2 linked regions of the Macaca fascicularis genome follow. The protein of the gene in region 2 interacts with the protein of the main gene of each other region in a pairwise test. Links are inferred from orthologs where the notes say so. Each region holds a gene or a part of one and is shown on either strand. Other genes may lie near its edges.

Evidence for each region.
Region 1: the proteins of AQP2 (region 2) and ERG28 interact in binary tests that used the Homo sapiens proteins (3 or more experiments, as listed by UniProt). The link is inferred for Macaca fascicularis from reciprocal best matches to the Homo sapiens genes AQP2 and ERG28.

Annotation. Positions count from the first base shown.
Region 1 is NC_088381.1:143,623,234-143,628,102, reverse strand, and holds the start of ERG28 (ergosterol biosynthetic protein 28 homolog), read left to right. Parts: upstream 1-1,860; 5' UTR 1,861-1,962; intron 1,963-4,869.
Region 2 is NC_088385.1:56,778,367-56,783,256, reverse strand, and holds the start of AQP2 (aquaporin-2), read right to left. Parts: upstream 3,061-4,890; 5' UTR 2,966-3,060; coding exon 2,606-2,965; intron 1-2,605. UniProt on the Homo sapiens protein: Forms a water-specific channel that provides the plasma membranes of renal collecting duct with high permeability to water, thereby permitting water to move in the direction of an osmotic gradient. Plays an essential role in renal water homeostasis.

The DNA of each region.
Region 1 (4,869 bases), on a different chromosome or scaffold from region 2:
AGACTCTTCACTTTCAGGGCAGTCTGAGGCAGGTGACTGATTCCCTAAAACATATATTCCTTGCTAGACAAACCTGGCCTGGGTTAAAAATAAATAAATAAAAACTCAAGGTTTAAGACCCTTGCAGGTCGGGCAGGGTGGCTCACACCTGTAATCCCAGCACTTTGGGAGGCCAAGGCGGGCGGATCACCTCAGGTTGGGAGTTCGAGACCGGCCTGACCAACATGGAGAAACCCCATCTTTACTAAAAAAAAAAAAAAAAAATTAGCCAGGTGTGTTGGCTCATTCCTGTAATCCCAGATACTCGGGAGGCTTAGGCAGGAGAATCGCTTGAACCCGGGAGGCGGAGGTTGCAGTAAGCCAAGATCGCGCCATTGCACTCCAGCCTGGGCAACAAGAGCAAAAACTCCGTCTCAAAAAAAAAAAAAAAAAACCTTGAAAATATTTATTTAGACTCTATGACAAGCACTCTGACAAGATGCCATCATGTTTCCCGTAAAATAAATTCAACAATGAACCGAAAGATGAATATATTCTCTTGAATCAAAGGTCCATATAAATGGTTGGGGGGGAGGGGGGAATGCCCTTCCACTCTTAAAAATTATTCTTCCTTACTAAAAATCACAAACTTTGATATGACTCTCAAATAGACAATAAAATTGGAAAATTTCCAACACTGCATTTCTAACTTAAAATATTTTTTCCAAAGTAAAAAAGTACATGGTCGTTTTGTGTGTCAGAAGAAGAAATAGGAACTACAAATAAAGAAAAGGAATATGTTTAAATGACCATAATCCCATTACTCAGCGATAATTACTTGCTGTCAATCCTTCTTAACTTTTCCATACATTCATAAATACGATGAGACTGTAAATCAGACAAAAAACAAAAAAACCGACCCCGATAATGATCTTCGGCGCAATGGGCAATGTCTAACGACTTCAATGGCTTTCTTCAGGGGATTCTCAAGGGGGATTTCTTGATCTTTCCCAAAATGTTGGAAAGTCCTTTAAGTTTAAACAAAACCTCTAAACGGGAAGGGATGCCAACCTTTCCTAGGCTGCCTGCAGAGCGGGGAGAAACAGGTCGATCGGAAGATTAAAGACATTCGCCTAAGAACACTCCTCGCCCTAAAGGAATCTGCTTCTCAGCCCCAACCCCAGCTCACCCCAATTCCACGGAGGTCCGCAGATGCTCCCCCCTGAAAGGACAGGACCACTCGGCTGCCGCGAATCAACGCGGCGCGCCCGGAAGCCAACAGCTACTCCCCGGCTCTGAGCGGGAAGTGCGGCGGCCAGCTGCAGCCTGGACCCGGGAACGCTCCTCCCTAGGGTAGGGATGCGCGCTGGCGCAGGCTTTTACCTGTCTCATCTTCCCATGGTTCGGGGCGAGTAGGCGTGGACCGCGCTCTGCGCCTACCTCCCTCTTCCTTCCCCAGCAAGGCTCAGGGCAGCCGCCGACGGCGCTTCCCCGGTTACTACAACAACCAACAAGCAACCGCCCGCTGGGAGCCACTGCGCAGGCGCTGATAACGCTCAGCTGCGGACGCGGGCGAATGTCGTCACCGCCGCGCAGCGCGGGCGCAGAGCCCTGGCCTCGGCAGAAAGTCTTTTTTTTTTTTTCCGCTGTTTTTTTCTCCGCCCCTAAGAGGTTGACTCCAAACCCGGAGTTCCGCTAGGTCCAACAGGAGGGTTTACGGCGTGAGCGGCGTACCTGGGGAGAGGCTTAGGCAGCGGCAACCGCTGATTGGCAGTAAAGGGGTTCACTCCCCATCTCCTGCTCGGGCAAAACCAGGACAGCCAATCAGAGAGAGGACTAAAGGAAAGGACCCAATCCTGGAGCAGGGCTGAGGGAGGGGGTGGGGACAAATGGCTCAGGTGGACTCCGGGCTGGAGCTGTCCTGGGGGAGCTTGTTTGCGGCGGCTGCTGCTGCCACTGCTGTGCTGGGGGTCCGGTCGCCAGGTAAGGAGAATATGGGGGAGAAGAGGGATGTAGGTGTCTGTGTTGCTTCTGATTGAGAGGATCGGAGAATCTGGAAAAATAGAGGTGAGATGGAAGGAAGATACCTGGAAGGCAACCTTTTGGGGGGAAAAGGGTTCGAGAGGCGATGACAAGGGGGAGCTAGGAAGATGGAGAAGGCTGGTGAATTCAAGGAAAGAAGGAATGGATGAGCGAATGAGCAGCCACTATAAGCCTAGCACTGTACAAACAGCCTTCACTTTTTCTCATATGATTCTTACAATAACCCTTCGGGTTGATATTTCTATCTCCATTTTGCAGATGAGGAAACCGAGACTGAAAAGTGTAAATGACTTGCCCAGGGTCACACAGCTACTAAGTGGTAGGGCCAAGATAAGAATCCCTCTCTCCTGATTAAGTTTTAACAGCACACCTATGCTGGGCTGGGCTGGGTTGGGCTTGGCTGGGCTGGGCCAGGGCCAGGACAAAATTTGGAAATAGATGTTATAAACACTCTAGGAGGCCCTAAAGCTTTAGGGAAATTAGGTTGAGAAATTGGCAGAGCAATTCAGAAGTACTCAGGTTCTGTCCTCATCAGCTATCTGTTGGGATTCCTAAGAGCTTCTGTGAAATGGAAGGCGTACTTGTGCAGAAAAGTGGAGAGGTGCATTCATGCAGCTTTTCTAAACCCCGGAGGAGTCTCCTCTTGAGAGAGGGTGAGAAAATAAAGAGGATAGGTGGATCTTGGCCCAAGTGATAATGGCCTATGATATCCAGTAGACTCTCAGTCTCTGACAGAGACCACCTTTGTGATCAGCTCTCCCTGAAGGGTTCATCAATTCACCCTTCCTTCTCTAGATCTCTTTATTGCTTTTTTTTTGGGGGGGGGGGGAGGGTGTTTCACACTGTCTTGGACCATTGCTGACTTTAATATCTATCTCACTGGGTAGCATAGAACAATACCGAAATTTATATTGCCAAAGTGACAAAGAAAGCCTGTTAGTTTATTACCACTTCAGGCCCAAGAGGTTAACCTGACAACAGATAAACCATAGACTGAGAAAATAGTGATGAGGATGGGAAAAAGCCATTCCATTATTAGATTATTTATCTATTTTGGTTTTATTTAAATCAGACTAACTGAAATTACTACTCAACAAGAGTTGATCTAAGCCTTAAAAAAATAAAAGTCTGGGTGCTGTAGCTCACACCTGTAATCCCAGCACTTTGGGAGGCGAGGCCAAGGTGAGTGGATCACTTGAGCCCAAGTGGAGAGGTTGAGGTGGGAAGATCACTTAAGCCTTTGATTTCGAGGCTGCAATGAGCCATGACCACGCCACTGCACTCCAGCCTGTGTGACAGAGCAAGACCCTGTCTCAAAATAATAATAATAATAATAAATTAAAAAATAAAAAGTATGTAATCTAATTGTATTTTCTATACAACTTGAAGACAGAAGAGGATATGGTATGCTTTTCTTAATCAAAAAATGGGAACTTCATTAAAGTAGTCTCAAACAGTGAGGTAGCACTGCAGCAGTCCAACAGACCATGATTCTTATCTCGGCTCTGCTGACTTTGCTGTGTGACCTTAAGAAACTTGTTTAACCTCTCCGTTCCAACCCTCATCTGTAAGATGGAAATATTAATAGTGCCTGCCTACCTCATTGTGAAGATTAAATGGTAATATGTGTTAGGTGCTTGGCACAGTTCATGGTGTAAGTGAACTGTGACCTATTATTATCTTGCAGCCCAACACCAAGATTGCTGTTTCCTTCACTATATAATTTTCTTACTAGTCCTAAAGTCACACGTTAACTTAAACAGGCACAATTTATAAATTTGGAAAAAGAAAAGAGGCTTTATCTCTTGCAAAGGGTTACAGCCACCCAACAGGGAAGAGTGCCTCCCACTAAGATCAGAGACAGGTGCTTTGAAGGAGAAGGGTTTGGGGTAGAGCTTTATGCTGAACAGGTTGGCTAAACATACATGTTCAACAGCTTACAGGAGGAACTATGAATATTCCTGAAGGTGGTCCTGACACGTGCATATTGAACAATCATGTGTAACCACATATGACCCCTGTTCACTTTGGAGTAGAGACCTAACATTTAAGTCTATCACGCCTAGGCTCTATGCGTCAAAAAGTCTTTTCAGGACACCAAGACACTCAAGTGTGTGATCTTGCTAAACTGGCCAGGAGCAGTCCACGGTTGGTGGTCTTATCTGGAGAAAGTTACTAAAATCAGTCTCTTGTCCAATCAAAGGTGTAGTTATAGCTGGTGGAATAGGGGTCATGTAGTCAGCCTCTGTGAGCTGGATGAGCTGTAATTGTTTTAATATTGCTTATCTCAAGCCAGTGCTTGTCTAGCTGCTGGAGAAAAAAAACCTTGTGGCAGAATATAAGTTTTATTCTTTAAATGTGGGAGTGTGTGACTTAACCCTTGCCTGGCATGGCCTTAGGTCTTGTTTATAATTTGGTACCTTATTGCACAAAGAATCTGTTCTGTCATTCTTATGATCTCTATTTTAACTTTAATGCTGGTAAGTTGCTGTCTCTAAACCTGAAAAAGGAAGGGATATAGCAGGGCATGTGAGACCTCCCATCTCGTCATGGCCAGGGGCTCAGTTTTAGGATTTTTCTGGGTTCCCCTAGGCCAAGAGGGCCTCTGTTCAGTCCGTGGTGGGCTTAGGATTTTATTTTGAGTTAACACACAGCAGTTTATTTTTAACTTTTAGATTGTTCTTCTAGTTTATGGAGCATGGTATACCTGAGAACCAGAGTCCAGAAAACCTAGGGATGTAAATAGTGACCTCACACCGTAAGTCCCACTCAAATGTATAAAGTTCCATAGGCTTGGAAGAATCTGTCATCAATAGCCTGGCAGGTGTCTGTGAGTATAGTTATAAT
Region 2 (4,890 bases):
GTTAGCAGGAAGACCTTCCCCTCTCTCTAGACCATCAGACCCTGGTGCAATGAGAGGCCCGTGGTCTGTCTTCCTGAGGTCAAATGGCTCCCAGGGACAGGACTTGGGTCTAGGGGATGGTCCTAGTGTGCCCCTTTCTGCTATGAGTCCGCCATACACCTTTTTCCTTAACTCTTGTCTATTCTCCACTGCCTTTCAGGCCTCAGCTTTGCCCTGTTGGTTTGCTCCCTGCACATCCTATGGAGGTTGGGGTGAGGGCCCCGGAGCTGTGTCGGACAATGCCTCCACACCCATGTAGGTTGCCCATGGTCTCAGCAGACCCTGCCTTGGGTAAGGAGAGAACTCGGGGCTGAGTAAAGAGGTGATTTCATAACTGGGCCACACCCAGCACTGGATTTCTCCTTGGGTTTTGTCACCCTGTGCCCTACGCCCTGCCTTCTGGGACTGGGCACCATGCTGGGTGGAACAGTGACAGCTCTCAGCTCCCACGCTCTTTCTCCAGGCCCTGAACCCCCACCCCTGGGTCCGAGACATCAGGTCAGAACCCTTGGGTCTCTCTAGGGTCTAACCTCAATCCCTCCTGTTGTTGTCCAATGCAGAGTCTCTAGAGGACAGTGAAAAGAGCTTTGGAAGCAGACACTTTAGAGGCCTCTGACTTGCCATGAGACTATTTAATTTGGCCTCAGTTTCTCCTTCTGCGAAATGGGATAACAAAATGGATTCTGGAGGATGGTGGGGGGACTGGAAATGACTTATTGGTTCTGTGACTTGGATCAATTCACTATTGAGCCTCAATTTGCCACTCACAATAGGGGGGAACCACAGAATTTCCCTTATAGCATTGTACCAATGATGAGATGATAGCTGGCCTGGCACAGGGCAGGTGCATGTCAATGATTAAATTCCTGGTGGCCAGGCTAGCTCTTAGTGTCCTCAAAGGACACATGGGATGGTCTTGAGGATCATCTGGCTCTCTTTAGCCTCAGGGCAAGTTGGTCCCACCACTGCCCCATTACATCCAGGCAGGGTTCTCCCCAGGTCCTCAAGGTAGTAAATGCTGAGAAGTGGCATGGAGGAGTCCTCCCAGACCTTTCTCTTCTGAGGGCCCCAGTCAGTTGTGAAATGATGGAGGAGGAGGACTGCATGTTTCCCATGGCCTCTCACTCCCAGTGCCCTGCTATTACAGAAGAACTTCCTGGTCATGCTCTCAGGAAGTTCCTTTTTCAGTCTAACTGGACCTCTTCTTGCTGTAAACTGAACTAATTTTGTTCTCAGAGGAAAAGAGCCCACTCCTCTGCTTGCCCACCTAGCCTGTCCTTGGCCCCTGGCCCCCAACCTTGTCACAATTTCATCTTTAAAGAACAGAGCCTTGGTGTGGTGGCTCATACCTGTAATCCTAGCACTTTGGGAGGTGGAGACGGGTGGATCACTTGAGGTTAGGAGTTCGAAACCAGCCTTACCAACATGGTGAACCCTGTCTCTACTAAAAATACAAAAATTAGCTGGGTATGGTGGCACATGCCTGTAATCCCAGCTACTCGGGAGGCTGAGGCAAGCGAATGACTTGAGGTGGAGGTTGCAGTGAGCTGAGATTGTACCATTGTACTCCAGCCTGGGCAACAGAATGAGACTCCATCTCAAAAACAAAACAAAACAGAGAAGTTCCCTAACTGGGATACCCCTGTCCCACAAATGAGGAAGGGCTACCTGTGCAGAGACGCGGGTGGCCACAGAGATTGTGCAGGACTTGTCAGAGACATCAGGACTCTTGTCCAGTGGCCCAGGGATGGAACAGGCCAGGAAATACTGGAGACTGAGGCACAAAAGAGGCACTTGCTGTCCTGGCTTAGGATGGGGGTACAGAGTGAGAGTTGGTCTGTTGGGAGCACAGGTCGTTCCTCCACACTCATGTCTCTTGGATTCACAGGGCCCACACAGACCTGAGAGGGGAAGGGGGTGGGACATGGGGGAAGGGACTGTGGCACCACCCTCAGCTCCCGAAGGGCCCACGGGGCCCAGTTAGCACCTGTATCATGTAATCAGCAGCCAGCTTATGGGCTCCGGGGACCTCGTCAGGGTTTGGAGAAGGAAGTATGCCCATTGCTGCTTGTAGGGCTATGGTGTGTCTGAGCCTGACCTGTAAGGAGCACCTGCCATAGGGCCTGCAAACCCTCAAAGCAGAAGAAAGGCTGGGCCCCTCTTCTCTCTTGAGGACCCTGTCATGAGCACTCCAAGGCTCCCCACAGCTTGGAAAGCATGTCTGCTTGGGACACTAACCCCTGCTGAGTTACAGCCTGGTCCTCACTATAACGGAGGCATTGAGTCCAACAGAAACCCAGATGAGGCTTTTCCTGCACGACGGTCAGGGTGGAAGAAGCCTGCAGTCTGTCTGCATCCTGCCTTTGCTCTGGTACCATTGCTCCTTTCATCCTGACCCTCCTATGGTGGCTATGTTCCTGACTCCAGGCTCTGTCTCTCTCTGTCTGTCTGCCTCTGTCTCCATCTCTCTCCCCACCTCACCCAGAGCCCATCCCTCCCATCTCATCCCTTACAAGGGATTCCCCAGGATCTGCCCCTTGTGGATGGCAAAGTTGTGGCTACTTACAGCATTGACAGCCAGGTCCCCGCGGATGTCTGCTGGCGTGATCTCATGGAGCAGAGCGGCTCCGGCCACAGCCCCCAGCAGCTGGGCAGCCACGTAGAAGGTGGCTCGGAGAAAGGAGACATGGCAGCCCACCAGGCAGGCCACAGTCACGGCTGGATTGATGTGGGCCCCGCTTATGTGGCCCAGAGCCTGTACCAGGGTGCCAATACCCAAGCCAAATGCCATGGCGATCTGTAGCACAGAGGGCAGGGCCTGTGGCCAGTTGAGGGCCGAGCCGAGGCCAAAGAAGACGAAGAGGAGTGTGGCCAGGAACTCTGCAAACACAGCCCTGGAGAAGGCTATGGAGCGGAGCTCCCACATGCTGCGGAGTCCTGCGTGGCTGGCCCGGCCGTCTCAGGGCCAGGAGGCTCTGGGCACTCTCTTTCGCTCTCTACCGCTCTCTTTCTCAAGGCCTCTGGGGAGGCTGGGTTGTGGGCATTTATAGGGTACTTCCATCCTGGATCTGGGCACGTGGTGGGGAGGTGGAGTCGTTGAGGCCAATACCTCTTCTCCATGGCGGCCTCTGCCCCCATGCCCCATCCCAGCCCACCCACGTGCCTATCACCCTATCTTAGCCTTCACAGCTGACTGATGTTCCCCATTTAATGAGCTCCAGATAAGGACTGACGTCCCTGGTTTTCCGTGTTTGTTCCCTTGGTTACCCCAGGGCTGCTGCCCCAGGGCCTCTCCCAGCCCCCACGGGGTCTTGTGAATGGGAACCTCTGGTGGGGATTGTGCCCAGTGCCCCTCTCTCTGACTCGAACTGTTGACCAAGGCAGGGGCAATACCTCACACAAAACTAAGAGTGTGTGAGTGCTGCTCCTTCTGGTAACTGGGAAGTTCTTCTGTCAGACCTCCAATTACTCCTGCTTCACAGGGATGGAAAACAACTGGTTGGCTTGTGACAGATTTCCAGGGCATAAAGGTTTGTGTCTTCTGCGTTTGCATTCTTGCAGCTAATCACCCATAAATCATTAAGCTTCACCTTCTCCTGGGAGCCCCAGCCAAATAGCAGCTCCTAGAGCCTGGGGGCACTGGGACCCTGGCCCTCGGTGATGGAGTCAACCTGGGCGCGGCTGAGGAAGCTGAGGGTGTCCATTCTGGCATCAGCCTGTTCCATCTATGTGACTTAACCTTTCTTGTCTTTCTCTGTAAAATGGGAAGAATAAAACTGACCTAGTGGATTGGGGTTTGGATTGAATGAAACAATGTATGTCAAGTGCTCAGAGCAGCGCCTGGTCCACAGTAGGTGGTCAATGAATATCAGCCCTTCCTTACAGTATTATTTACACTTTGAGGAGAACAGGTCTTTGCACACTCATGTGTTGGGGTCCCAGAAGCTGTGACAGGTCCTAGGAACCCCGAGGAGCTTAGGGCCACTCTGGCCACAGGAGAAAGACATTTCTGTGGGGCAGTGAGCTGTGCAGGCTCGGGGCGGCTATGATGGCTGATAAGCAGCTCTCTGGCCTTGGTGCCCACTCAGCCCAGCATCTGGGCAGTGCTGCCTCCTGCTATCAATGCCGCTGTGGCTACTGGGGTCCTGGAAGTGTTCAACTCTAGAAGTTTCCCCAGCCCCACTCACTGGCCCTTCCCTAATCCCTCCAGCCTCGCTCCCCCTCCTGGGGATTCACAGCAGGGTTGGGCTCAGAGTGGGGGCAGAAGGATGGGCTTCTGCACCCTGCCCTAGCTCCTGTCCAGCAGGTCCCTGGGCAAGTCACAGTCCCAGCAACAGAAATCTGGGAGAGATTGGAGACTGGAGTGGACCGCTTTATGTTGTATCATGGGGATGTGGGATGAGTGTAGGCCCGGGGAGGGGAGTGACTCATCTAGGGTGCTCCAGCAGGTTAGTGGCTGAGCTGGGACTGAGCCTGGTCTGGAGCTTTCTGCCACACCCCACACTACCGAGCCACACTCTGTGCCTCAGTTGCCTTGTCTGTACAATGGGAGTGTAGATGCCTACCCCATAAAGTTGTTTTGAGAATGCAGTAAGATAATGAACGGGAAAGTATTTTGCAACTGAGAATGTATCATACACATATATATGGGGACTCATGACTCCTGCTATTGTGAAGGAGGAGGAGGAGAAAGGCGAAGAGGAAGGGGAGGAAGAAAGAATAAAAATTACCCATACAGAAGGGATGCTCCAAAAGAGCAGGGATTCCTGTGGGGTTTGTTCTCCAGTGTATTTCCAGTGCCTAGCGCCTGGCCTGACACATAGACACCTGGCACCCTAGCACTTTTCCCTC